Macaca fascicularis: one gene and its partner. The protein of the gene in region 2 purifies or fractionates together with the protein of the main gene of each other region. This does not show direct contact. Links are inferred from orthologs where the notes say so. Each region holds a gene or a part of one and is shown on either strand. Other genes may lie near its edges.

Region 1 (2,789 bases), on a different chromosome or scaffold from region 2:
GAGACCCTGTCTCAATCAATCAATCAATCAATGCCTCCCAGGGATCCCTGGTGACTACTACATCAAGTCATCAAGTTTATTCTCCTCAGGTTGGCATTCAAGCCCCTCACATGTAGGTTCCTGCTCTCTTTCTCTGGCCCCATCTGCGGATCTTCTACACTGGACACTGCATCCTAGCCTCGTAGTTTTGAGTACATCACACATACCTCCACACGTGCACAAACAGGTAGCTGTCTTCACCTGGAAATCATCCCCTTCCTACCTCAAACACCCCCTCCCTGGTTAGCTAACTTCTAATTCTTCTGACAATCAGCTTAAATACCCCTCCCTCAGAAAAGTTTTGCCTGACCCTTACTTCAAGGAGCTGGGCTTCTTGCCTTGTTGCTCCCCAGCTCAGTACCTGCCTGGTGCCCCTCCATGGCAGGGATGAGAACCAGCTTGCCTCTAGCCCAGCATCTGGACTCCGGCCTAGTATATATATGCTCAGTCAATGCTCACTGAATGAATGAATGAAATCGCCATGATTATCTAAGCCAGGTGGTCTAGGGAGTCAAGTCATGGTCAGTAGGGGCAGGAGAAGCCATAGTGACCACTGTGAATGGTCTGAGAGTGTGCCCTTGCTGGGAACACTCTGTACCTGTCCCACTGCCATGCTCCAGCTATTCCCAGAACGAAGCATGCCAGGTGTGAAGGACCCCCAGAGAGCAAAAAAAGGCTGGGCATCCAAAATAACAAGGAAGCCACATGGAAACCAGGAAGTGGGGAAGACTGACCTGAAGGCTGGGCTGCCCAGAGGCCTGAAGGGCATGCTGTAGGGCTTGGCTGAAGAGATCATTGGTGATGGGCGTCCCTGACTGGACACCAGAGGACATTGGTGAGGTCCCTGAGGAATGGCCCTAGAGACAAATCAGTGGTCAGTGCCACCCTCAGAGCCATCTCAATCTTATAGCAGATACTTGCTGTTGTCATATCACCCCATAGTGCTCCTGAGGTACCCAACTTCTGCCTCCCAACAAAGACCTGCCATGAGACAACCAAACAAAGGTACCTAGAAGCTCTCTATGTGGGCAGGAAAGGTTCCATTCTTTTCTGCACTGAGTGCCTTGTCCCACCCTAGGACCCCAGCACTGGGAGAGATGGCCTTGAAAGCTGAAGTGACTTTTCACCCAGAAATGCTTAAGCTGGTGGTGTCTGCTCCCTGTCAGGGATGAGGAAGGGCATATTGTGTGAGGGGAGAGTCTTCTGAACTAATAGGAGGGACTACTCAGGACCATGTTAAAATCTAGACCTCTGAGTCCTCAAGGCAAGTGAAGGGGAGGTCACTCAAGCTGCAGTAAGAAATCCCCACCAGGAGTCCAGGGTTCAGCTTAAACTAGATCTAGCACCAGGGTCAGCAAAGGCAAATCTATTCTACTGCTGGGGAGCTTGTTCCTTGGGGACCCAGCCTTGATCTTCCAGGCCCTGTCTTCATACCTGGGTGCCAGGAGTCGGTGTGTGAGAGCTGCTCTCCGGAGTGCTGGCCAGGGCCAGGGCGGTGGCCAGCTCACTCTGGGTGATGGGCCGGGGCCCAGCAGCTCCACTGTACCCCAGGGAGGCTGGGCGGGAGCTGGGGGTACTGCTAGAGGGTGTGGACCTGGTGTTCTAGAGAAAGAAGACACTCAGAATCAGGCAAGCAGTACTATGAAACTCCCAGATGAACTTCACCCACCTCCAGGAATAGTTCTTGGGGAAACTCTTAAGCTCGCAGGTTCAGAAAGGAATCCCAAAGCAGAAATAGTATGACATGGTCTTGGCCCCTCAGTGGCCTGTGTCCACCTCCCAGCCTTGGGAGTGCCAGGTCCCAGGATGCAGCTCATTCCCAGCACCATCTACCCCAAATGGCAGGCAGGCAGGCAGTCCACTTACTGGGTGAAAGTCGTCCTCATCATCCGAGAGCCCTTCAAACAGGAAGCCACCTGGAGGAGGACGAACAGATTTCAGGAGGAAGAACAGAAAGGCACAGGCGCAGCTCCAGAATCTCAGCTCAAGTTACTCTCCAAATTCATATTTTCATCTCTCCCCTCGGAAAATTACAGGACAGATGCACTTCCTGACTCAAACCGAGAGTTCCCAAGGAACGCCCTCTGCCAACGCTATACATAGCTGCTGAGTAAAGCAAATTCCTGGGCCACTGCCGGCTCCTAAGGGGCCCATATTACACTATTCAGGGGCTCACCTGGCATATCCCGGTATGAGCTGGAGGGCATGCTCCGGGAAGAGGAGTCAGTCCCTGGCATTGGGGCACTGCCTGCTACCGAGTGCAGAACCAGGACAATGGCATTGACGAGGGCTGGGTGAGCAGGCACCAACCTAGGACAGAAGCAGGAAGAAACCCAAGGGTGACTCCAAAAGAGCACCCTCGACCATGACAAGAGTTCTGGGTGCCCTCTCACAACAATGCAGCCACCTGTGCCTGCCCTCAAATTCCTCGGTCTTCAGCATCTTCCGCCAGGAAGATTTATCCTCCTGCTGATCTGCCCCCAGCAACGGGAGCAAGGCCTTCAATTCCTGGGTCCACTGCAGATTCTTCACCCTCTCCATAGGCAAGGCATGATGGGAAAGGTGCAGCCTGGGAGGCTCAGGGTTCTGGCCTGAGCACATGAGGAGCCTCTGGTCTAGGCACCACTACTACATCAGGCAACCCTGGACAGGTCCCTTCTCTTCCCAGGGTGGGGCTGTTTTCTTCACTTGCAAAATGAGGACATGTCCTTTCCAGCTTTGACACTTTATGGATCTGTACACCTGCTTCT
Region 2 (4,463 bases):
GTATAGTATGTAAATTAGATGGCAATAATAAAAAAAGTAAACTTTTAACATCAATGTCACCAGGGGTTCAAGTTCTGGCTTACACAGAATTCCTTTCCTGGAGAGCAGATAATATGCAAAGCCAGCAGTGGTTTATTTTTACTCACAAATTCCTTAAGTATCTAGTAGTCAGGTTCCTATTTTAAGCATGTAGCAAAGACATTGTAACTCTTAATTCTGGAATATAGTCTTTACGGTTTAGTGAGCCATCCAATCCACTTCTCGTCTTTAGTCCGTGGCAAAATCGGGAATTTCATGGTACTGTTACTTTGATCGCTCAACTTAGATTTATATAACATTTTTTATTTTTTGAGACGGAGTCTTGCTCTGTCGCCCAGGCTGGAGTGCAGTGGCAGATCTCGGCTCACTGCAAGCTCCGCCTCCCGGGTTCACGCCATTCTCCTGCCTCAGCCTCCCGAGTAGCTGGGACTACAGGCGCCCGCCACCTCGCCCGGCTAGTTTTTTTGTATTTTTTTAGTAGAGACGGGGTTTCACCGTGTTAGCCAGGATGGTCTCGATCTCCTGACCTTGTGATCCGCCCGTCTCGGCCTCCCAAAGTGCTGGGATTACAGGCGTAAGCCATCGCACCCGGCCAAATATTTGTATTCTTGTGCACCTGAAGATGGTTTTCACCCACTGACTCCAAACGTCTTCTTTGCATTTGCTGTGTACAATTCAGTGATTTGGGTTTCTCATCCATTTATACTTTCAACTTTTATCAATACTTTTTGAACACACTTAAAAAAACCCCCAGGAAGTATCTCTCTAAAAGGCCAAGGTAAAGTAAAATGAATGGGAGTTCTTGTGTCCGAATTCTCTTCCAACTGGCCTTTCCTGGAGGAGGTGGAAGAGTGTGTAGCAGATGTTTTAGAAAATGAGCGCTCAATAGGGTAGATCGCGCTCCCGCGGACAAGGAGACGTTTTTCGTTTTCTTATCCCTCGCTTAGGCGGCGGGCGCGCAGAATCCAGTGGGAGCAATGAGGTGTTTCTGGGCTCCCAGGTCACAGAAAAGCAGACGAGTGGGAACGACGGAGGCGCCGCGGGCCAGCGCCACCTTCTGGCGGATGTTCCCCGGCGTGCGTCCGGGAGCCGTCTCTCCCCCTGCCAGCCTACCTGGCCCAGGCCCGCGGCGCCCGCCGCCCCTGCGCGGTCGCCGTGGCAACGCCCCGCCCTGCCGCCCGCCTCCCTTTGCCCCTCCCCCCGGCCGGCGCGGCTGCGCGGGAGGGGGTGGGACGGGGGCGGGGAGAGGACGCAGGCGAGAAGAACTCCGCGGCGCGGCGCCCGCGACCTATTGGCTGCCACGTCCCGGCGCCAGAAGCCCCGCCTCCCTGACGGGGGTCACGTGATCCCTTTCAAAGATGGCCGCCCTGTTGTTTTGATGAATAATACTTGGTGGGGCGAGGGGGAAAGAGTAGGGGTGGAGGGGTAGGAGGATTTACTCTTCCAGCGAGAGCTACGCGCGTCCCATCCTCCCCCTCCCCCCTACCCGGGCTCCGGCGTGGAGGCGGGGCGTGGCCGGCCTGCTTTGGGAGGGGAGGGGCTTCCCTTACAGTGCTGGGCTCTGCCAGGACGGCTGTGGGGTCGCCTTACCTCGGGGTATCCACTCTGCAGTGGACCAGTTCCCGCCAGAGGCAAAGGGTAGGAAGGAGAGCAGGATCTGCTGTAGGAACGCAGCTACCGCGCCACTATCACGAAGACACAGCAGGCTCGGGGCACGAGACGAGCTGGAGACCGCGCTGCCTAGTCTGGGTAACCTGGGAAGCAGAGGGAAGTAAGTGGCGCCTTAAGATAACCCTGTAGCAGCAGCAGTGGCGGCCAGAGGAGGCTGCTCAGGGAACAAGCGGCTGTAGTAGTCTCTGGGGCGATTGGAGTGACCGAAGCCAAGGCAGTTCAGTGCCTCTTGTGTTCTTATTTTTTAACCTCTGACTATGCAATTCTGAAACCTCCCCCATTCGGGGGACCAGACAGCCTGATAGACACCTTCCACTCTCCTTCCTCCCGCCGTGGTCGCGAGAACAGAAGGATCTCTCCCTAACGCCTTTCACCATTAAGAGGAAAGCGATGGAGGAGCTGAGCGCTGATGAGGTGAGGAGGTTGGGGGACACCTTGAGGGATTAGTTGGCAACTCGTTAGCGCTTTGGACAGGGATGATATTGCGCCAGTGCTGTCTGGCCTTTGGGCTTGGAGAAGGAACGGAGATGATATTTTCCAAGAATAACATGACTCCCCATAGGGTCTCTGGTTTTATTCTCCTTTATTCTTTTGCCTTATTTCTTCATTCTGAACTCCATTTGCTTCTTTCCGAGTGTTCTTTTAGGGTCTGAAAAAGAGGAGAGAGCATCTTGAGGTGTTTATTCTTTTCTTCAGGGTATGCAAAGAAGAACGGCTAGATTTACATCAAGTTAAAGTGTGTTGTGTGTCGTCAGGAATTTAAAGCACGATTTTGGATGGAATGAGAATGTATGGTGGGTGAATATTTTTAAAGAAAGCATTTGAAATTCCAAATATGTGTGGTTATTTAACTGTATAAGCTGATTAAACATATCTTTTTGCTTGAGGGATGGTTTACAGACAGATTCTTTGATATTTAACAAAATATGTATCTTCTCAACAGTTAAGAGAATTCCAGTTGTATTCTAGTGACTTAATATAAGACCACTAATGACTTCTGGCATTCTTCTCTTACATTCTATCTTTTTCTACTTCTTGAATCTTTCAAACTTGTGTTTTGCTGTAGCAGAGACTGAACAGGAAGCAAGTGGTAGCAAATGAATTTGTAAACTCTCTCCTGTTATCATTTCTTGAAGGAGTTATACGATCTATTTCTTGATGTTTTAAAGATTGTTTAATAAGTTAGATTGTTGTAAAAAAAAAAAAAAAGCAGTGGCAATCAGGGTACAAGGAATTTCCTACGCTTCTACTGCCTTTTTCCTTCCTTTTTACAAATTGGGAGCTTCCCTTTCAGGACCCCTGCTGGCCATACCCTCTTCAGCCTACCTCCACATTTCTTCCACTGGTTCATCATATAAACTTCCCTACAGTATTAGGAAAGCAGTCATCCATCAGGTTGATTGTACTACAAGATTTCCATGCTCCAGTTTTGGCTACAGAGTATTTAGTGTGTTTACTTAGGGACTGAAATTCTCCAGGTGTAGGACATGGCAGTGGTGTGTTAAGGGTCAGGTAGGAAAGGAAGCAAATGATTTTGTTGATTGTGATACTTGGATACTTGGTTTGGAAAATCAGGATTGCCCATTCTGCGTTACTGACGTTGTGTTTTTATAAATACATCAGAAATGTAATCTTAAGAGAATATTACACAGTTTCTTTCATTCGGTAGGAAATATCAAGAGATCTCCTAAGAATCACTTTGTTTTATGTGGTTTAAGTTTCTCCACCCTTCCCCGTTTTTCATTAATGTTAATTCTAGTGAGTAATTTCTCTTAAAGCCGAGATGCTGTTTTTTGTTTTTTGTTTGTTTGAGACTCAGTCTTGCTGTCGCCCAGGCTGGAGTGCAGTGGCGCCATCTCAGCTCACTGCAAGCTCCGCCTCCCAGGTTTACGCCGTTCTCCTGCCTCAGCCTCCCTAGTAGCTGGGACTGCAGGCGCCCGCCACCACGCCAGGCTAATTTTTTGTATTTTTTTGTATTTTTAGTAGAGACGGGGTTTCACCGTGTTAGCCAGGATGGTCTCGATCTCCTGACCTCGTGATCCGTCTGCCTCGGCCTCCCAAAGTCCTGGGATTACAGGTGTCAGCCACCGCGATGGGCCAGAGATACTGTTTTTTAGTAGTACTTTACTCCCAGAAATTACTTTTTTTTTTTGATGATCTGTTTAGAGGCTTTGCACACTTGAGTTTTCACCAAGAAATTTTTTTCAAACCAGCGAGGCGTTACAGACCATGAATATACTGTATAATCTAAAATGTGTCTCTTCACTTTGCTCAGTCCTTGAGGAAGGTGTAACTTTTTTTGTGACCATATAAGGAACACATGAAACCTTTGTGGAAGAAATAGAAGAAACTTTTTTTCAAGGTTAGCAGAATATTCAAACAAATGAGAAAAATTAAATTCACTAATACAGGATCAATGTAAAATTATCTTCAACAAATTAGTTGTCCTGAACACAAAAAGCTGATTCAATAACTGCTAATTTTACTCACAGCAGAACCTGGAACAAATAATAATTCTTTGTTTTTAATTTTAAAAATTTTTATTGTTTTTTGTAGAGACAGGGGTCTTGCCGTGTTGCCTGAGATGGTCTAAACTCCTGACCTCAAGCGATCCTCCCACTTCAGCCTCCCAAAGTGGGAGCCAGACGAATAGTTTTTTGGAAAAAATATCTTTGAAGTTATTTTTTAAAAATTCAATTAAAAATTTTTGAGGTTAGGTAAGCAATTCTCTTGAGACATTTCCAAAGCTTTTG

The links.
Region 1: the proteins of UBE4B (region 2) and UBL7 purify together in Homo sapiens (affinity purification with mass spectrometry; 3 studies listed by BioGRID and IntAct, counting the BioPlex papers as one, with this or other methods). This does not show direct contact. The link is inferred for Macaca fascicularis from reciprocal best matches to the Homo sapiens genes UBE4B and UBL7.

What each region holds. Positions count from the first base shown.
Region 1 is NC_088381.1:51,557,798-51,560,586, forward strand, and holds part of UBL7 (ubiquitin-like protein 7), read right to left. Parts: intron 2,350-2,789; coding exon 2,216-2,349; intron 1,956-2,215; coding exon 1,906-1,955; intron 1,642-1,905; coding exon 1,474-1,641; intron 897-1,473; coding exon 774-896; intron 1-773.
Region 2 is NC_088375.1:224,785,274-224,789,736, reverse strand, and holds the start of UBE4B (ubiquitin conjugation factor E4 B), read left to right. Parts: upstream 1-1,383; 5' UTR 1,384-2,100; coding exon 2,101-2,124; intron 2,125-4,463. UniProt on the Homo sapiens protein: Ubiquitin-protein ligase that probably functions as an E3 ligase in conjunction with specific E1 and E2 ligases. May also function as an E4 ligase mediating the assembly of polyubiquitin chains on substrates ubiquitinated by another E3 ubiquitin ligase.